Alligator mississippiensis: one gene and its partner. The main gene of each other region encodes a partner of the protein of the gene in region 2 in a complex. Links are inferred from orthologs where the notes say so. Each region holds a gene or a part of one and is shown on either strand. Other genes may lie near its edges. The genes, in order: RAC2 and NCF2.

Region 1 (10,267 bases), on a different chromosome or scaffold from region 2:
ACAACACATAACCAGGTAACTGGACACCTCAATTCTGTTTTTGCTAGACCTAACATACCTGTCAGAGAAATCTTAAAGAGACCACCTGTAAGATTTCAAGCAGTTTGCATTGAAATTCGGGTCTAGACATTCAAATTCTAGTCCACCTTTTCTCCAAACTAATAAGTAGAAAAAGTGTCAGACCAATAAAGTACAATACTGAAAGAGATTGTGGAGTCAGACCCTAATCTGTATTTAACATTGTTAAACAACAGAATGACATGCATGAAGCACTTGCTGAGAATAAGAATACCCATTAGGGTTGCCAAACCTCCAGGTTTGCCCTGGAGTCTCCAGGAATTAGATATAAATCTCCAGGAGGCGGCTAAGAGTTGCTTGGGAGATAAATGATAGGGCATTCATTAAAATAAATATTAAATGTTGAATCCGATTTATACAGTACTCCCATGGGTTTTTAAAATGTAGTAGTAATGTGCCTTTGCCTTCCTGATGTAAGGTCTGCACACCGTAATTAATGTCATGACGTTATGTGCTGAAACCTCCGAGAATATACTGAAACAGAGCTGGCAGCCCTAATACCCATACTGTTAGAAACAGATGTCGGGGTTGCTGCAGATTTGGAGAAGTACAGAGAGAGTGATAAAGCCAAACAGACAAAAAATGCAGGGCCTTGGGAGATGCCATTGCTTCAAGAAAATGAGGGAGTGTGGATTGGTGATCATCATAAGAGGCTGCCTGTAGCTTAGGGAGCCTATCACTCCAGATGGACCTTTATGAGAGAAGGAGAGATAAGTATTTAGCCATGTTAGTCTGAAGTCACGCAGAAGGCCAGGTGGGGTTGCACCTTATCGACTAATCGGTTCAGAGATGAACAAGTTTATGGAAGCAACACCTCACTTCATCAGATGCTGAATTAGTTAGTCTATAAGGTGCAACTCTGCCCTGCCTTCTACCAAAGAGGTAAATAGGTAAAAACTCTACGATCTTAAAGGAGGAAGAGAAGGGCACTGTGTCAGCCATATTGTTCAAGAAAGTCTCAGACAGGCCAATCACTACAGATTAAGACAGAAAAGCCCAAGGATATACAGCAAAGGGTTTATCACCTCCTGACTCCAATAGCAATAATATCTCAGGCACCTGAGAGACTAATGGAACACAAGTAACAGATTTATTTGCTTATAACCAACAGGCTGAAATTCTGTGTCATGTGAATATCCATTGTGCACTGTTTTGTTTGGCTGGGAAAGGATACTGGAAATTGCATCTCCCAGTGGCTTGGCTTCAAAGACGAGTGGCTGGGATGGGATCTGAAGAAATCCGTTGTTTTGTTGCACAGTTGCAGCTGGATCTGAGACCCAGAACTAAGCAGATCCCTGTTAACCGCCTGATCTCAGAGTGATTACTGAACAATGCAGTCAGACACCCTCTTCACTCATTAGTCATTCCCTAGTGACCTTACCTCGCCTTTCAATTTTGGCTTTGGAAATGACTATGCTTGTAGCTTAAAGACCACTGAGATCAAGAGAAGGAGTAGACGTCAAGAAAGAAAGAGGGACAGGAAGCCAAGTGGAGAGCCAAGGCAACAGGGAAGTAAGACACAAAAGGGGAATAGAGCTGGGGCTCCATTGCATTGGGCTGACCTTGTGCACAGGTCCTGCACATACAGTCAGGAAAACTTCCCCTCTCCCACCTCCCTCACTCCTACTGCCATTGGTGTGGGGTGGGAGAAGGCTGCATTCCTCTTCATGACGAAACTGCATTAAGGCACTAGGCACATCAAACTTTCTTCCCACGCAGAGAAAAGAGAGTTTCTGCTCTCTCCACCCTCATGGGCCTGTCCAGATGATCATAGATGTGCGGTATGTGGTGCAGCAACCCATCTACAGTGATGCACACTGCATTCACTGCATGTGCAGGCGTTCCTCGCTGTCGATGTTCACTGCACACACTGCATACCACACATGCAGGCATTCCCTGCACTGTTGATTTGCATGCTGCTGGACTGCCCCATGCTGCTGGACTGCCATGGCTGCAGCTCCTGGAGGCCCTCAGGGCCCCAGGTGCTGGCCCCAGCCTCCCTTACCCCACCCAAGGCAATGTACCACAGTCCAGTGCTTACATACACAGGTGTGTCCCAGGGACAAGCAGTAGTGCCACATATTGTGCTGCTGTATTGTTCCCTGGGAAACTGCAGTGATGAGAGATACCGTCCTCCCCCCACACCACCTGCCATTCAGAAAGTTGCTCTTTGCCTACCCCACTGCATGTCTAGGATGTCTGGGATTCCCCTATATTCCCTCCCAGAATATTCTCCTAATAGGATTTTGTACCTGGGCTGGGGGGGGGGGGGGTGGCACAGGGATGGCAAAGGGGAAACTGAGCAAGAAAGAGCAGGGCAGGGGCAACAGGTGGGTCAGGATAAAGTCTGAGGTGACAGGAGAGAGGAGCAATGAGGTCACTTGGTTTTCTCCCTTCCCTTAGATTCAGGCAGGGGAAACCTTACATCTCACACCTGCCTCTTCCATTATTTGCCCCCATGCCCATCTATTGGGTTCTGCACTAATCCCACCTCCCATGGGTCATACAGATGGCCAGGCATAGCCTCTGGCAGTCTCTCACTGTAGAACTACCCCACAGACCAATTCCTCTTCCTCTTCCCACCAACTTCTTCCTCAAATGCTGGCAGACAAATAAGAAGTGCTGAAAGCCTGCCTCTCCTTTTCCTTCTCAGATACACAGAAGGAAACCCCTAATCAAGAGTACCCCTTAGTGGCAGGAGAGCAAAGCACAGAGACTAACAGCTTGTTGAGAATGCAGCTGTCAAGTAATTCCAGGACATGAATCTCTGTTTTGCCATGTAGACCCCAAAGCTCTGGGTACCTGTACTGCTCAGTAAATACTGGCATTTTCTAACTTCAGAGACTTGACTTGTGCCATCTTACTTATTTAGGAGAGGTTGTTTAGATGCAATTTCCGAATACTTTAAAGCCAACACATTGCTGCATGGAGGAAGGGGTGGGCAAGGGGGCAGAAATTTCATTGTGTCTTGCCCCACTGGAACTCTATCAGTGAAACTGAGACCTATCAATCCACAGTGCAGGTCTCTGTGCCAAGGGGCAATAAAGTAAATGGTAGCAGCAGCAAGCTATTATCTTCTTTCCTGATTTGCCACAAGATGGGGAGGGAGTGATTTTTATGGGTGCTGGCTATGAGCAGAGGCATCTTGAGATGCAAGACTAAAGGATTCAGGTCAGGTTTTATAGGCAAGAGGGGACTGATGCTTGTATCAGTGGTTCTCAAACTTTTTAGCTTCAAGACACTCCTCCATAACTATTCCAAATTTCACAGCACCCCTTTTGAGAGTCACTGAGCTAGAATTTACATTCAGAACAGTTATGGAGGAAGCTTTGAGGCTAAGAAAGTTGAAAACCAGTGTCTAGCTAGTGTCAGATAAAGGCAGGACATCGCCCCACCATGCCTCACTTTTTCCAACTTCTTTTTACCCCCAGTGTGTACCTGTATTTTCAGAGAACACATTTTCATTGGACAATGCCTGTTTGCTGAATCTGAAACAGTCTATGGGAATGTTTCCATTTCAGAAGAACACACAGCAGCCGCATCTATCCAGTTGGGAACATGAGAGCAGGAGCTCCATACCCGACAGGTTCCTGCCTGGTGGGCTACCAAGGGGCAGGGAATCTGGAAGCTTTGGGGGCCTTAGATGCCAGGACTCCTGGGTCTTGCAGATTTCCGGCCCTCAGCAAGTGGGACGTGAGTGGTCAGCCCTAAGGTTTAGGATCTTGACCTGGGAGTAGAGATGGGATACAAGCCAGGGTCGTGAGTTGAGGACTGTAGTCAGGAACAAGGCAAGGGAAGAAGCCAGGGATAGACATAATCAGCAAGAAAAGGGCCAAGAATCAAGGCACAAAGTGCTAGGATCAGAGCAGCCTACAAGTTCACCAAAAGACCCCTACTATCTGCCCTGCTGGTTTCAAGGCTGTTTGAGAGCAGGGTCTGCTTCCTACAAGCACTACAGCCAATGGCTGGCAGTCAGAGGGATGATTCATCCTCTGCTGGGACTTATGGCACCTGGGACTTCCAGGTGGTTTCCCATCCAAGTGCTAGCCAAGCCCAGGACTGGTTAGCTTCCAAGATCAAATGAAATCAGGTGCATTCAGTCCAGTATGGCCATATCCAGCTGGAGCAGTGACTCATCACACCTGGCTCCTCAGCAGCTCACCTGGGCTGTCATGGGCTCTCTACCTCCTTGGGAGCACAGGAACATATTTTATTTCAGACACTCCTGTTGTGAGGATCTCTTGGTGTCTCCAAAATGAGACACTGCAGACTTCCAGGTCCACAAAGAATGTGGGTTGAGTTTTGAATTTAGAGCCTGATTCAGGATGATTTTTTTTCCAACCACTCAAGAGTTTTCATGGACCTTAAAGTCTGCCTCCATGCCAGCATTATTCCTGCCCCTTCTATGCCCTGTCTCCTGTCCCACTTTGCCCCTGCACCTGTCTTTCCTTCCCAGCTCCTCCACACATTTCTCCTCTCAGACACCCTGCTCAGTCCTTTCTGTTAGAGGAGAGCTGGACAGAAGTCTTTTTAGGTTGTCCTGTAGTCGTAGCAGACAATTAATATACACCTTTTATTTAAGATAAACTGTGATTCTATATATTGTGATAAGGGCTTTTTTCAGAAGAGAGAGGGAGCCAGCTATGGGTCTTGGGAGTGGGGCAGGTGAATTGGTATATAGGGCCTTGTTACACCTTATGTTGTGAGCTGTACAAATGGTGATTGGTGTTAGTGCTAGCTTGGAGTTTCAAGCAGTCACACCCATAGTCTAGAAACCTTCTCTAACTGTTCCCTGCCTGCACAGCTGTGACTTGCCATGAGACCTGGTGAGCAGGGGCAGGGTTAGGATCTGTAACTATGAGTTGCCACTTTGTGGCTGATGAGCCAGGACAGGCTTCCATCCCTGCTGTTTGTGTGGGGGTGTGAAAGATCCTGGGATAATGGAGGACTTCAACTTGGGTGGCACATTTGTGAGGAGAGGGCGAACCTTATGGAACAGGAGCTGGGTAGTGCAGATCAGAGATAACCCTGACCTGGAGCGGCATAACTTTAAGCCACGTGACGAGTGCTTAAACCACTTTAAGGTGTAACATACAGACAGTCCAGAGGTTAAGCACTCCGGGAGCCACCCAAAATTATGGTGAAACAAGGTCCTTAAATATTACGGTGATGGGTGTAAACCCTCTTTAGAGCAGAAAGGGGACTCCAGGCTGCGAGGTCTCTTCTCCCTTCTTTAGGTGCTTCTGGTGCTCCACCTACTGGTGAGTACATGGTCCTATAAACTGGCATAGCATCATATGAATATTAGCAAGGGAACAACCAACCGAGTAATGTTGGGTGCAATGATTTGCTTATGCCATGTAGTACTGATGCCAATCATAGTGAGAGAGAGGCTGCTGGGAGTCAGGGGGAGAATACCGCCACAGGTCCTGCATCCTACGCCAGCTCCTTCGTGGCAATTAACTGAATGAGAGGGAGGTAAAGAGAAATTCAGCAGCAACAGAGGGAACAATGTGGCTTTTCCTATTCTAGTAAAGTTCCTTGTTCAGCATCAGAGGAAAGCAGCTCCCTCTGCATTTGTCACCTGGCAGCAGAAAGGCTGGAAGGCCCAGAAAGTATTCTCTGCCAGGAGCCAGCCCCTCCCTTTGCTCCATTTCAGCTGGAAAATCTTCACTTCCTCATGAAGATGAAAAGAAGCCTTGGGAAGCTGGGGGGGAGGGAGGAGGAGCAAAGGGGAGAGAAGAAGCCATCTCTCAGCTTTTGGCACAATTTTTTATTTAACCCCTGAGTAAAAGTAGCATGGCGCCCCCCACTGCTCAAACCAGCAGGACAGGAAGCATAGAAAGAAAGCTGCTGTCATTTTCTGATGCAGTAGAAGCCAAACCTTATACTTGCATATGCTCCGCCTTTAGCTAACGGCTTGGGCTACAGAGTTGAGGAGGAGGGGACCTGTGGGCACATTGAGTAATGCTCCTTCTTCCTCTTCCTCTCCCTCCCAGCGACCTGCCTTTCACTTCAGCTCTAGGGTTGACATTTTATTTGCACCGACCATCCTTCCATTCTCCTTTGTGAGCATTACCTGTGCCTGACTTCCCCCACCCCAGGACCAGCCTTCCTCCACCAGTCCAGAGCCATGCAGGCCATCAAGTGTGTGGTGGTGGGAGATGGGTATGTACCTTTCTATTTTAGGGGCTGGGGGCGGGAAAGGGAAGGAGGTAGGTTGTTCTTGCTAAAACTTCCTATGAAGGGAGTCAGCCTGTGACGGAGGAGGTGTGTTAGGTGGGATAGGGGAAGGGCATTTTTGTACAGCTGCTGCAACAGGACCACAGAAAGCAGAGCTGTTTGCAGGGCTGGCAAATCTACCCTCAGTGAAAGAGGTGTCATCCCCATGATGCCTCCCTTGGGCACAGCTATCTACGGTGGACAGAGCCAGGTTCAAGAATAAATGAGGGGAATCATGGTTTCCCTATGACTGCTCCCCACAAAAGCCTTCAGTGCCGGGGCAGGAGGGAGAAACTGATACATGACAGTGGATGTGGAGAGTGCAGCTTGTCTTCCTCCATTTTTGCATTTGGGTCTCAGAGCCCACCGTGTCTCTATGTTGATTGCCTGGAGGAGTCTGTTAGATGAGGCTCCCCTGGACACAGAGAAAAGGACTTGCTTTTCCCCCCTTATCACGAAGATGAGGCTTCCAGCTGCCGACAGAATTAGAAGGCAACCTACCTCTGCCATATAAGTGCAGAGTAAACGTTACCCTGGCTGATGCACCCCATTGATGATGGCTCTGTGGCCCAGCCGAGGCCTCAACAGAGAGCTTCCCCAGGGTAACCCCCAAAATGGACTGAACACTTCTGCCCCATGAGACATGCAGCCAGAGGATAGGAGGAAACATGTGAGGTGGGTTTCAGGGTTTGGTGGTGTGAGAGTTAAGCTAGTTCTGAGTTGCAAGCCGGCAGCACTGTTATCTGGGGCAGCTATCGAGTAGCAGATGAAGAGACATTTGCAGAGGCCCAGCTCCCCGCAGTCACTTCCTCCTTCAAAACCAGCTCAAGGAGGAAGTTTATAAGCAAAATATCAAATTATAAAAAAAACACCTTGGGGGCTGAGGGAGGCAGAGAGGAGGAGCCAGAAATGCAGGGCAAAAACCCTGCAACCAAACAAAGGCTGGTATCTCTCCAGGAAGTGCTGTGAAGACCAGAACTTAAGTTACAGAGCCGTACCTGAAACTACGCACACAGGAAATACTCTATGACTAACCCCAGAGCCTCTTGCAGATCTCTGCTAGGCCCCACATGCACTGACCTCATGACCACCCCACGAGTAGTCCCCCATAACTCTCCTAGTGTTATAGTCCTTCCCCATGAGCTTACTAACCTCTCTTTCCAAATACAGCTTCACTAACTCCCTTGCCTTCCAACCCAGCAGCTCTCCCCTGAGACCTCTGCTGAGAGGGATGAAAGAACTTGGAGAATGATGACAGAATGGGAGAGAAGGATTGAGAAAAGGGAGACGGGAAAGGTGGCAGGGGATCCAAAAGAGGAGGAAATGTGTGCAAGACTCCAGAGAAATGTTGCACTTCCTTCTGAGCCTTCATGACCTAGCAACTGGGCTGTGAGACCATGACTCATGTTCCTTCTCATTTCCATCACTACCTTGCTCTGTACTTGCAAGGTGCAGTAGGCCAGGCTGGGGAGAAAACCTTGGGCATCAGACCTGCCAGGTGTACTGGCACCTCTGAAGCAGCACGTTGTGTGACAACCCTCACAGAAGTGGGTGGGTGGATGGAGGGAGCCAGCCAGGCTCTCACTTTTCTCACCATTATACCTGAGTGCCCATAATCCAACCCAGGTAGTGCCCTAAGAAACAGGTCACTATTGCTGTCACGATTTTTCTGATTGGAGAAAGGAGGCACGAGGGAGTTAATGGCAGAGGTAGAGAAGGCACTTAGTCTACTAGCTATGGGCTCATCCTTCCCTCATTGGAGCTAGCTCTGTTTCCTTTCTCCCTTTCCCCTCCCCACCCCAATCTCTCCCCACCCTCTTGTTTCCATCACCATCACCTCTCAGTGATCCACCACACAGCCCTTCCTCTTTCCCTTTTCCATTAGCCTTCCTTCCCCAAGCAGACAGGCTCACTTTCCTCTTTGGGCTTCCAAGAAGACAGCTTTCCTGATCCACTTCACAAGAGAACTGCTCTTCTGGTGTGGTACATTACCTGCCAAGGTGCAGCAGCTTTAAGCCCAGTTTATGGAAATGGGAGTCTCCTCCCTTGCTTGGTCTAAGGGCCTTATGGCTAAGGGCAAGTAAAACTCAGGGGCATTCGAACCCCAAGCCTCCAGGCTTGGGCCTGCAAGTAGGATGCCTGCCAAAGGTTTTCATAGATTCATAGATTCATAGATGTTAGGGTTGGAAGGGACCTCAATAGATCATCGAGTCCGACCCCCTGCATAGGCAGGAAAGAGTGCTGGGTCTAGATGACCCCAGCTAGATACTCATCTAACCTCCTCTTGAAGACCCCCAGGGTAGGGGAGAGCACCACCTCCCTTGGGAGCCCGTTCCAGACCTTGGCCACTCTAACTGTGAAGAAGTTCTTCCTAATGTCTAGTCTAAATCTGCTTTCTGCTAGCTTGTGGCCATTATTTCTTGTAACCCCTGGGGGCGCCTTGGTGAGTAAAGCCTCACCAATTCCCTTCTGTGCCCCCGTGATGAACTTATAGGCAGCCACAAGGTCGCCTCTCAACCTTCTCTTGTGGAGGCTGAAGAGGTCCAGGTGCCCTAGTCTTTCCTCATAGGGCTTGGCCTGCAAGCCCTTAACTATACGTGTGGCCCTTCTCTGGACCCTCTCCAGGTTATCCACATCCCTCTTGAAGTGTGGCGCCCAAAACTGCACGCAGTATTCCAACTGCGGTCTGACCAGTGCCCGATAGAGGGGAAGTATCACCTCCTTGGATCTATTTGTCATGCATCTGCTGATGCACGATAAAGTGCCATTAGCTTTTCTGATGACTTTGTCACACTGCCGACTCATGTTCATCTTGGAGTCCACTAGGACTTCCGTGCCACCCAGCAGGTCATTTCCTAGGCAGTAGGTATGCTGGACATTTTTCCTCCCTAGGTGCAGCACTTTGAATTTCTCCTTGTTGAATTGCATTCTGTTGTTTTCTGCCCATATGTCCAGCCTGTCTAGGTCTGCTTGTAGTCGTTCCCTGCCCTCCGGTGTGTCCACTTCTCCCCACAGTTTTGTGTCATCTGCAAACTTGGACAGAGTACACTTCACTCCCTCGTCCAAGTCGCTGATGAAGACATTGAAGAGTATCGGTCCAAGGACTGAGCCCTGCGGGACCCCACTGCCCACACCCTTCCAGGTCGATACTGACCCATCCATTACAACTCTCTGAGATATCATCTCTATTCCTGTGGACTATTGCAACAGCTAATTCATAGATTCATAGATGTTAGGGTCGGAAGGGACCTCAATAGATCATCGAGTCCGACCCCCTGCATAGGCAGGAAAGAGTGCTGGGTTTAGATGACCCCAGCTAGATGCCTAACCTCCTCTTGAAGACCCCCAGGGTATGGGAGAGCACCACCTCCCTTGGGAGCCCTTTCCAGACCTTGGCCACTCTAACTGTGAAGAAGTTCTTCCTAGTTCTTTCTCTTCCTTTGGAAACATCTGAAGCCCCAGGTGCGGGTGGAGGATGTTTGCCGGTAGTAGGGCCACTTATGGTTCTGGACTCTTGGATTTGGAATTAGTTTTGACTAATTTGGCCTTGGATACAAGTTAAATTTAAAAAAAAGCCTCTCTCCTGTCTACCAGTGCCTCTCTTGGAGGTGGACTGCTCTGCAGTTCTTGCCACCTGGTGCCCCACCCTGCTCCCCTGGAGGTGAGACCAGAGGGGAAGGCCCAGAAGCCCCAAGAGTGGCCCCTGATATGTGGGAGGAGGAGCTGAAGAGGGCACCTTGCCTGCTGCCTGTAGCCCCCTCAGAAATGACATTATAGCTGGCAGGAATGTGCAAGAAATGCCCAGGCAAGCCTTTGGTCTTCTGTGTGAGGTGCTCTCTCCTGGCTCTGGTTGTGCTGCTTCAGTAGAGCATTAGCAAGTGCCATCCTGTCAAAGATGCCACTGCTTGGATGAGGTATAAAATAGAGGTGTGGCAAGCACATAGCCATGTGTCTAGCCGGGGTAGCA
Region 2 (11,336 bases):
AGGTGCTAGGAACTGCTGTGACTTCAGGCTAAATGCTTTGCCAACCATACTCTAGTTCAGTAGGGTACCTAAACCCATCCCAAAACTGAAATCGGCTTTCAGCTCTCACTGTTAACACCTTCCAGGGGATCCTGACAAGTTAACATTAATTTATATCATTAATTTGTAATGCTCAAAGGAATTACATTTCTAAATCCCTTTCAATGTTATTGGAGCACCTCAATAGCCCTTAGGCTTCTTTGAAAATCCCAGCCTTTAAAAAGTCTCTCTCCATGTTGCTGACCGCCCCTTGGAATATTTGATCTGCTGGGGTGATGCCTGTCTGATCCACTCTGCACGTCTGCCACTGCTGCTTTGTTTTTCTGTTTCTATTTTTCTCTGTCTCATGAACCATAATATTTGGCTTTCACCAAGTAAAAGAAAATGCTTCTTTTATTATTAATGTATTGACCCCTGTCCCAGTTCAGCTGTGGCATGGCCTTTGTGGAGTTTGTTTAGGGGCGTTTGATCAAGAAAACTTGGAAATTCTCAAACCAAAAGCATGCATCATATTTGACTGGCATGTGCTTCCAGAAGCATTTCTGAATCAGCTGTGGTGGATCAGTTCCAGCGAAATGCTAAATGACTATTTCCTTGTGTCCAGCTAAGGGCTGAGAGAATCAGGGGTAGGAGGGGGAATCATCCTGCAAACAGGTGCATGCAGCTTCTAAATTCTGCCACAGAGTTTTACCTCTCAGTTTCCTCCCTCAACATCTGCCTCAGCTTCTTGGGGCAAAAAGTGTCTGCCACTGTATCCTGCTCATGCTCTCAGCACTCAATGCAAAATGAATAACGGTGATGATTTCCTGGGCAGAGACCACCCCATTGTCCTCCTCTCATATTTGGCTTGAAAGCAGTATGTGAACTTTTTCCTACCGTAGCTTTCCCCAGGTAATCTTTCTTCTCCAGCTGAGCCACTTGCTTCTCATTTGGCCTAAACAGCTTCCCCAGGGGGATCACCACTGGCTCAAATACATTTTGCTTCTGTAGCATACAGAAATCATAGGGACATGTTGAAAGTACAGACACTTCCAGCATTGCCCACCTTCTAGCTCTGCATGTAGCTCCCTCTGGGTGAATTTGGCCCATGTGCTACACAGCTTCAGTCCTAGCCCTCCCAAAAACCCTTCATTCACATTTTCCCCATATGCTGCAAAACCCATGTTCGTATATCAAGCCACAGCTCTTGGCTGTTTTTGTAAAGCTTCTGATACAGGATAGTTCCCCTTCTTTATAGACTTCAGTCTCTTTTATCCCTATAAGCCCCTGGCTTTTTCAGTGGCAGCCAAGATGGCCATCGAGGTACCTCAAGGATAGAGGAGAGTTGAATTTAGTGCAACTGTCCCCACCACCATGAATGTTGCATGCCTCCCGAGGCTGGGGGTGGGGGGGCGTAGCAAGCTCCCGCAGGCAGTAGTCGCAGTGTTGGCAGCAGGGGCATAGTGGCGTTGAGCGAGGAGCTCCCACAGGCAGCCACAGTAGTGTCAGCGGTGGGGGCAGGCCGAGCAGGGAGCTCCCGCATGTGGCCGCAGTGGTGTCAGTGGCTCGGGGGAGGGGAGGGTGCTGGGTGGTGAAAAATAGAGGACATAAAGGCGTCCAGTTTCATATCAATAGAGGACAAAGGACCAGAAAACTGGACTGTCCTCTATAAAACTGGACTAATGGCCACCTTAGTGGCAGCCCAGGAAGGAATCAACACGTGGAGAAATTATTCTTTACCAAAATGGCTTGCATAGCCTTATCAATCTTGTTGTGTCGAGGCTCGCTCTTCAAGCTCGTTGCCAAGATGAGGTGCTCTTCTGCTTTTTTCCAGTCCTCCAGTTTGGCATAGACCAGAGCTATGTTGTATAACACCTGCAAAAAGGAAATTTGTTAAGAAAAACAAAGGCTCAATGAATGGAGGTTCTCAAGTGAACCAGCCTCTAATGAGGAGTGCCTTAAGCTACTGTCCCTAAAAGCAGTAGAGAACTCAGAGCCGAGAGAGCCCCATGTGCTGCCAGTGCTACCTGCTGTTTGAAGATACTCCAAGGGCTTTGTTGAGTCTTATTTTCCTAGAGAAATCTTCTAGAAAGCTCCACCTGGAGGCAATGAGGTGATGTTTGTTAATACAGGGTGAGGGGAAGCTAGGCAGGACTAGCTTCCCGTTCCAAAGATTCCTAGTCTCTGCTTGCCTCCTCTCATAAATCAATCACTTGCTTTTTTGTGAGGACATGAAATCTGTCATGCTTGCTATCAACTCACTTTCCTTCTTATTGGGTTTGGGTACAAAGAAACACCAGCTAATTAATTAGCTCTAAAGTTACTAGTCCTAGGGACCAGCCTCTAATTTCTTCCATGCGAGCTCTGAAGGCTGAATGTTGGCTTGTCACTCATATATGAGGTCAGGGTGCAGTGGTGCACCCACTCCTTGATTCCTGGCCCACCCAAATTTTAAAGCCAACTGCCTGGCAGGTGCAGTAGCAATGAGGGAGTCAACTGACTTCATGGCTCCTTGTAAACTGCCTGATTCCTTCTATAGTCTTGATTCTGCCTGTTTCTCCTTTTTAAGTCTCGATGTTCCACTAATCAAGCTACCCTTTCTTCTGTAGTTCTACTGTCTGTTAGCTGTTTTTAACTCTATCTAAAAACACTAACTCAGCTGTAGAAATGTTAACTCGGGTGAACGTTTATTCAGCTGTATAAGCAACTTTCAGTGAAGTACTGGATGCATTATCAGGATTCTCAAGAAGGCTAGATTTTGTTTTATGAATCTGAAAAAATATACATTTTATTCTAATAGCTAATGTTGCAGGACTAATGCAACAATATCTTTGGATTATTTTGGCCAAGTTTGTTGTGTTGTTTTTTTTATACAAAGTACATGATATATAGCAAATTAATGCATGTTGCAGTTAAGTTATATTTGGTTTTGCTTTGATCTTAAATGGAATAATATAGCCCTTAGGCCCTTAGCATATTAGTAAAGTCTCTAGTTTCTTTTTAACTGGAGAAATATGTGTTGCGTTATATTTGATGTATCACCTCCCACCTTTTTCTCTTCCTATATGGAGGCCTCATGTCTGAGTTACACCCACTGGCTGTGTGGCATTGGATTGCAATATATCTTCACCACTTAACTTGTTCTGCTTCATGGATAGCCTTGCTTGTTTCAGTGTCACATTTCCCGTATGCTCCTTACCTCACAAGCAAACAGCCTGAACTGCAGCCCCAGGATCTTATAGTCTATCAGCAGGTTCCCTCGCAGCTGAGCCAGTGCTTCTTTAAAGTCTTCGACTGCTGAATCATAGCTGTAAAGCAAAGTTAATAATCTGTCAGGGTCCACCAAGAAAAGGGCAGGGCCTTTTGCTGGCTGGGCTGCCTGGTGCCTTTCAAGAATGCAGTCTTGTTCTCATCCTGAGTCACTTGGCCAGCTAATGACATGCCAGTAGCCTTTTACCACAGCCCAAGCCCTTCATCCTGAGTCATTCTTGGGAGAAAAGAGGCTGTCCAGATCTAGGCAATTGTGTTCTGACTCTTCATTGGCCAATTGTGCTTGCCAGTCTCAAGGCTTTTGAGTCTGTTACCTGCATCTGCTTTAGACCCAAAGCTGTGACCAGTGTTAATATTATTGTGTATCATTTATATTCTGGTTGTGCCCCATCACATTAGGTGCTGTGTACACTCCCTTTTGTAAAGGTTTCTTATATAGGATTTAGCTAATCCTCTCATTGCTTTTAAACACACACTGGGAAATTTCCGAGGCTCCCAAGAATAGTCTTCATCCGTAGGTTGGGACCACTGCTAAGCATGAGATAGTATTTACCTTGTTAGGTGCGTTCTGGCTCCAGTTACCTCTGCAGCATTCCAGCATGACTGACTTGTCAAAAGGCTTCTCTGCCAGTCAGGGAAACAAAGTTTGACTTTTACACACCCACCCACCTCACTTCCATTAGGGAGTTTCCAATACTTACTTTTCTCTCTTGTAAAATACTGTTCCTCTCTGGAAATAGGCCACAGCCAAGTGCTTGTCACAGTTAATACTCCTGGCAAATGCCTGCAGGGGATAGGAGATGATTCATACATGAAACCTATTCCCCAGAGAGAAGTTGCAAAGGGAGACCTGGATACGGAGTATAGGGATGGGGAGAAGGCAGCAGCTGCAGCTGCGGCTAGTGCTGCGGTAGAGGGGAGAGTGGAACAGAACCTGGCATGTGCGGTGCTTGCCTTTGACTGGTAGGAGGCATGAAACCAGCATCTCAGGAGAAGGGATGAAATGAAGGATGAAATGGAAAGGGAAATGTGGAGAGAAGGAAAAGGATTGTACCTCCTCTTTCCACCCTTCAGCTTTGGCTCTTGTGTTTCACCTGGCCAGAGGCCCATAAATTAAATACCCCCCCACTTCCCCCGCCCAGCACTGAGCAGCAAGAATTAAATGAAGTATGTGACCTATTGTGCTGTAACTGTCTCTTCATCCTGCTCAGGACAGGTCTATCAATTGCTGGGCCATCCTCCCTAATAGACCATTAGTCACTATGTGGCTGCCTGTTGGTGTGAACCGCCAGGTTGGCAAATACTCCATGTGGCATCATCTGGTTGGCTGAGCAGTGGCTGAGCTGCAGCACGGAGGAGTTCTTCCCCTTGCACCCAGCCAGGCCAGCTTGCCAGCTACCTGACAGGTTTGTGCCGAGTGCCCTTCAGCCTGTCAGGCACAGATGTGTCTGACCTGCGAGTCAGGCTGTCAGTCATTTCATCATCAGTCTACTTCTGTCAGTCCTCTCACTTGTCAGTGGGCCCTTCAGTCTATCTGGCAGGGCTGGGTGTGCCGCTAAGTCGGATTTGAATGTAGAAGAGGCAGGGGCAGGAGGAATCGAGATGCTCTTACTCACCTGCTCTGCCTCAGCCAAGTTCCCCAGGATCAGATGGATGGAGCCAATGTTAAAGCAGAGTTTGGAGGAGGGGTTCTGAACTGAAGTGAAGGCCTCCAGCGCTGCTCTCCAGTCCTTCTGATCGGCAGCACGTACCCCGTCATGCCATAGCTGGATCGTCTCAGCCAGAGACATGGTTCCTCAGGAGCCTTCAGTGGGGTATCTGGTAGTGCGATGGCAGGTCTCCCCACAACTTGGAGTGGCTTTTCCTTACTCTGGGCCCTCTTTCCTCTGCACTGCAGCTCGGCCAGTGCACTTCTACTTGTACTTCTGTATTCCCTCCAGCACCCACACAGTGTTCAATGTCGCAAACTTATCAGGAAGTGTCTACACTTGCCAATGAAAAACAGCCCTGCTGAGATGGGGAAGTACAGCAAATGCTGGCTGACGTGAATCCGAGCAGCCCCTTGCTGTGTTATTATAAATCCTCCTCCTCCACCCACGGCTATTCGCCTCTTTCGGTTTTTTTTTTTGCCTCATGGGATCTATAATTTGAGGCTTATGTTTGGCATCGCACTGCTGTCAGTGTAGTCACAGTTGAGTCAGAGTTCATCAGTGATGTGGCATAGAGGAACTGGGGCATGAAGAAAGAAGGTCCTGCCATGTTCCTGCAGCCGTGTTCCTTTTAAAGGAAGCGCGCACGCTCTTAACTTCCAAAGGCAGCACCTAGCTGCAGGCTGGTTGCTGATGGGAATTCCCCAAAACCTCTGTTGAGAGCGAGAACTCAATTAGGCTAATTATGCAAATGCTCTCTTTGATTGGAGGGGTCTGTCCCAATGCTAACCATTAGCCTTCAGCCCAGCTCCAGGTAGCTAAATATTAATAAGCTCCCACCAAGAAAAATCACAGACTCTCATGAACCATTCAACAGCCCGACTATATTAAACAGACTCAGAGAAGATACCAAAACAACAGGTACGTATGAAAAGTGATTAATACAATTATACACAATGGCAATTACAGGACTATATACACAAGTTGGGGGAAGAAACAACATTTTGAAGGGTCACAGCTAGGGACTGCACTTCAGACAACGCCTATCTCACTTAACCACATACAACACAACTTACAACAATTCTCAACAGCAGCAACAGCAAGTAAACCAGACCAGGCCCAGGTGCACCAAGCACAACACAACTTGCACTCCACAGATGCACAGACACCCACCAATGCACACGCAAACTCACGTGTGTGCCCGTAGATGCAGCTTCTCAGCCTATTTAACTCTCTCAGTCACACCACTCATGTCAATCTGCCACTCATCCAATCATTCAGGAAGGAAGGCTGCCAATCTCATGCAACCATACTGCTGACCCTACCTGAGGTATAGAATACCATACCACACATTGGCAACATTTTCCCACCAAAACTGTATTATACAGTATTGCCAGCCCCACCATGCCAAAAATCATGAGACGAACTCTTAAAAAATCAAGAGATTGGCACGTAAATCATGAGATGCTAGTTTTGAAGTGTGCGTGTAAGGGGTGTTATTTGTGAAGGTGTTGGGGGCTGTGGGTGTGTGTGTGGGGGGGGGTTTGGAGCCCAGGGAGGGAGGGTCCCCGCACACCCTGGCAGGATGCGAGGTACTGTGGGTCAAGAGTGAGAAGCAGCAGCAGGGCTAGGTGGGCTGTGGCTTGGGAGTGAGGAGCAGACAGACAAAGATACAGACACACAGAGACACTGATAGACACACAGACAGCACCCAGCTGATAAGTAGAGGGAAGGGCTGGGAGTGGGGCAGATTGAGGCCCCCATGGTGATGGAGGGAGTGGGGCAGGGGTGAATGGGGCCCCAGTGCTGGGGCAGGTCATCCAGAGGTGCAGGGGAGGGACACTGCTTCCCACAGCAGCGAACACCACTGAGGGAGGCATGGGGGCATGTGCCCCCCCCCCAAGGGGGAGAGGTGGACTGCCCTCTGCGGGCTGAGGCTCTGCACCCTGGTGCCTCACCCCAAGAGCTCAGCTGTGTGATGCCATTGCTGCCTGCTGGGCGGGCAGGGGATGTGGGGTGCGCTGGCACATCCCCTGCCCACCCAGTGGCAGGAGGCACACTGGATGTGCGGCTGAGCTCCTGGGGCAAGGCAGCAGGGCACAGAGGCCCTGTCCACAGTGGGCACCCCACCTCTGCCCTACTCTCCCCCTCCCTACCTCTTTCCCTCCACTTACCAGCTGGGAAAATCCAGAGATCTGAGGGTTGGATCCAAAGATCATGAATCACAGTTATTTTGACTTTGAAAGCCTGAGTCTCACCATGGTTTTGAAACAGTTGGCATTACTGAGTATATAATAGAGGCTGACTGTATGCTCACATGTCTAAAGTAGGCAATGGACCTATAAAGTTAAAAAGTTTTTACTATATACAAGGGGACACTGCAGCTAGGGCCAACAGTTGCCAGCAGCCCAGCTGGTAGCATCATCTTCACTGTCCTCCAAGGGTAAGAAGAAGGTGGAGTACATTAAGCTCTTTTAGCAGGCTCAGGCAGGGGTAAACCAAAAATACCCTTGAAATAACCGTAAAATGCTGCTGAGTGTGTACCTTGGTCACATAGACAAGGGTGTTGTAACACCTTCAACTGCTTACAATGGCTTCCTCCTCCAGAAATGTCTTCAAGTCCCCTTGGCATGGGGAAGATGGACTGGTGTCTTCTCAATGGGTATGTTCAACCTGAGGCAGTTTTCTTCCCATGTATAAATCCTTGAGCAACATTAAAACATGGCTAAGGCTTGTAATAAAGCTGACTGAGTTGAACTATAACCAGGATATTAATCAGGAGGTTACAATGTTTTGTGTGCCTCAGCACTTCAGCAACACTGTGGCCCATATCAGGAATGATTACATCTGGTTTTTGCTAGCTCCTCATGGGTATCTACCCTTCAGTGCGATCTGCAGACCTAATGCAGTGTCGTTTTTCATCTTTCTCACCTCCTCAGACGTTCTTATCTGATTGCCTCATTGCATGGTCTGGTCCTGGCTAAGATGAAGAAACAAAATGTGTTTTAATCAGTTAAGGGACTTCCTTGATGTAACTGGTTGCTTAACCTCATAAGAATGATTGCATCTCTTATTAGCAAATTAGCTGAAGGTATGAAGATATTCCCAAGAGTGCTGCAAGTTAAAGAGCTGAATACATTGTCAGGTGTGCTCTCAGCCATGGGGACTTCCCCAGTGGCTCATGGAATTGGGATCAGGTCTCTAGGCTTTTTTACTGCCAGCTGGCTGGTTTGTATCTGGTTCAAGCAGGTCATAACAAAAGTCACTACTCTCTTATGACTGTAAGCCTATAGAGTATGACCTAGCTTTTGCTACTGCCTAATAAAGAGGTGTTTGTTTCATAATGTGACTGCTAAGCTTTACATGCTGATAATCTGCCTTAGCAGAGAGGTCAAACTCTGAATAGGCCATACAACCTAGGCGGGCTTTCCTCCCAGTGTAACTCTGGTCCTGGGGACAGAATCAGGTTTAATTAATCTTGGAGTGAGGTTGGCATGTTTTTACCTTAAAAGCTAATTGAGGTCAACCCGAAGGAATAGACTTGGCTGACTTCAGCCAGCTCCTTGAGGTAAAAGCTATCTGTCTGAGCCTTAGCTGGGAAAAGGATCACCCCAGAGTAAGGGAAGCTTCATAGTTTCATAGTAGCTAGGGTCAGGAGGGACCTGAACAGATCATCTAGCTGATGGGGGTTTCTGAGCACTCTTACCCCCCTTGCTTCTCTGAGGGACTGTTACCCTTTGGGCCTGGAGGATCGCCCCCTTAAGGTACAACCATCCCTCACGGACTCCCATCTCCTCTACCTTCTGGGCCCTCAGTGCCTCCCCCACTAATCTCTGAAGCTCATTGAAGTTGGCCCTTCTGAAGTCAAGGACTTTAGTCTTGCTATAAGTCCTTGACACCCTGTGCTGGATAGTGAATTCCAGCAGGTGATGATCACTATTGCCCAGGTGATCAAGGACCTGCAATCCCCTCACCAGGTCATCCCCAGTGACCAGGACCAGGTCCAGGAAGGCATTATCTCTAGTGGGGCTGTGCACCTCCTGGATAAGGTGAAGGTCTTGTAATACAGCCAGGAACCTATGTGAGCAGTCAGACCTGGCTGTCTGCTCGTCCCAGCAAATGTCTGGGTAGTTTAGGTCACCCATGATAGTGACATCCCTTGACCTAACTGCCTCCATAAGCTGACTGGAGAAGTCCTGGTCCAGCTCTTCCCCCTGGTTGGGTGGTCTGTAGTAGACACCCACCCTAAGGTCCCTTTTGCCACGCCCCCCTTGTAGTTTGACCCACAGTGTCTCCGCACAACCCTCCTCTAACCGGAAGCTAATCCTTGAGGATGCGAGTTGCTCTTTGACATAGAGTTCAACCCCCCCTCCCCCCCAACCTTTCCTCTCTGTCCTGTCCCTTCTATATAGGGTGTATCCCCAAATGCCCACCACCCAATCGTGGGTTTCTGTGAGCCCTACTAAGTCTGGATTCTTACTTGCAATCAGGAGGCACAAGTTCCTCCTGCTTGCTTCCCATACTACGAGCATTGGTGTAGAGGCACTTGAGGCCTCCTGAGGGTGCACGTGCCTCCCCCCTACTTCCAGGGCTGTTGTGGCCCCCTATTTCCAGGACGTTGTTGCTTACTTGGGCATCCCTTTCTCTTGTCACCCTGCATGCTGATGAAGCATCCTCTCCACACGGAGTGGCCCCTTCCCCAGTGAAGCTAGTTTAAAGCCCGCCATGGGTATGTGCACAGCCCCACTTGGCCTGTCAACGCCCACTTTGTGCCTTGGGAAGAATAATAATTCTTCTCTATCACGTCTTTGCAGCTTCTTGTAGACGTTTCACAGTAAAGTGGCAGAGGGCTTTGGTCTTCAGGGGCTGTGAATTCAGCCCATTTCACCTGCACTAAAATGACCTACTTGGGCCGCTGACTACATGACTAGCTTGGGAGTTAAGCCACCTGCCTTCTGTTCCCATCACTGTTATGTCCTGCAGGCAAACCACTGTACCTCTACCTCTATGGCTCAGCTCCCAAGCCAACACGGACTCCTGAGAAACAATGACTCATTTTTAACTTAGAATCCAGTACTGTATGTCTTAACCTCTAATTTTCCTTTTGGATCTCAGGTTAGGAGCTGAGAGACCTGTTTATATCTATTCTGTCCCAACTCACTCCTGTGGGATTACTGTGGCAACATGCAGCAACGTAGAGGAGAACATAGGCTGCAAGCTTCTTTGGCCCCAGGAAAAGAAAAGGGAAATCTGCAAGGAGCTTAAGTAATATGAAGAAAAAGGACAGGAAGACACAGCATATAAGTATGAAACTCCTCTGTGGAGACTTTTGTTCTTTTTTTTGACTAAGAGGCATGTTAAAACCCAAGGATATTTCTCCTTTTAAATGGAGGTAGAAGTGGAGAGGCAAGAAATCAGCTTTTGCTTTCCATTTCCTTCAGCCTCATGGCTTTAAATATATAGTTCCTTTACTAAAGATTTTACTTTAGATGCTAATATGCCAAGGATATTGGCATGGAGCTTGGGAAACAGGAGTTCAATTCCTAGCTCAGCACCTTCCATGCAGCCTTGGGCAAATCACTTCATCTCATGGTGCCTCAGTTTCCCACTTTCTGTCTTATTTAGTTGGCAAACTCTTATAGGGGCAGCCACAGTTTCTTCCTAGCGCACAATCTTAGCTGGAGGCTATAGGTGCTGATGTGTTAGGATAAATACAAATAATAACCTTTCTTCAAATGGCAAGCAATGCTTCAAACAGATTTTTTTTGTTTCTAAAATACAATGTCTCCAATTGGGTGGTAGCTTGATTTATACAGTATCAGTTCAAAAGGGGAGAGTATCTAAATGACACCTATTACAGTAAAATGTAGATAATTCAGATGGACAGACTTATTGCTACTGAAAGGTGAGCCCTTGTATTTATCCCTAGATGGGGAAAGCAGAGTAGGCTTATGGAAAAATGGTGTGTGTAGGAAATGGACAGCCATAAAGATCCATCAGTGTCTAACCACTCTCCTAGTAGAGAGGCTTTTTTGGGGGGTGTAACCAATCAATGTATGTCCATGAGTTATATTTCCTGTGGTTGATGGTGCAAATTGTATCACTTACTGGAGTGGACAGTAGGACTGTGTGAATAGGGAAGTGTTTGATTCAGATTCGGCCAATTCAGAGAACAGCGATTTTTTTTTTTTTTTTTGGATCACTGTCCTGAATTGATTTGGCTGAATCAGCTTTGGAAGATTGGGAGAGATATGATGATTCAGATTGGCAAGGGAGAGGCAGGCACAGCCAGGTGGCTGCCAGTTCTCTCACTGCTCCTCCAGCTATGCCTGCCTCTCCCTGGGTGGGGGAGCCATAGGAGAAGCCCCCATGGCTGCCCTGCCCATCCCCATCCCCAAC

Evidence for each region.
Region 1: NCF2 (region 2) and RAC2 share a complex: the UniProt entries of both Homo sapiens proteins name them as parts of the phagocyte NADPH oxidase complex. The link is inferred for Alligator mississippiensis from reciprocal best matches to the Homo sapiens genes NCF2 and RAC2.

What each region holds. Positions count from the first base shown.
Region 1 is NC_081827.1:100,469,104-100,479,370, forward strand, and holds the start of RAC2 (ras-related C3 botulinum toxin substrate 2), read left to right. Parts: upstream 1-6,017; 5' UTR 6,018-6,211; coding exon 6,212-6,246; intron 6,247-10,267. UniProt on the Homo sapiens protein: Plasma membrane-associated small GTPase which cycles between an active GTP-bound and inactive GDP-bound state.
Region 2 is NC_081828.1:54,294,827-54,306,162, forward strand, and holds the start of NCF2 (neutrophil cytosol factor 2), read right to left. Parts: upstream 5,265-11,336; 5' UTR 5,079-5,264; coding exon 4,905-5,078; intron 4,073-4,904; coding exon 3,990-4,072; intron 3,327-3,989; coding exon 3,218-3,326; intron 1,894-3,217; coding exon 1,759-1,893; intron 1,024-1,758; coding exon 916-1,023; intron 1-915. UniProt on the Homo sapiens protein: Subunit of the phagocyte NADPH oxidase complex that mediates the transfer of electrons from cytosolic NADPH to O2 to produce the superoxide anion (O2(-)).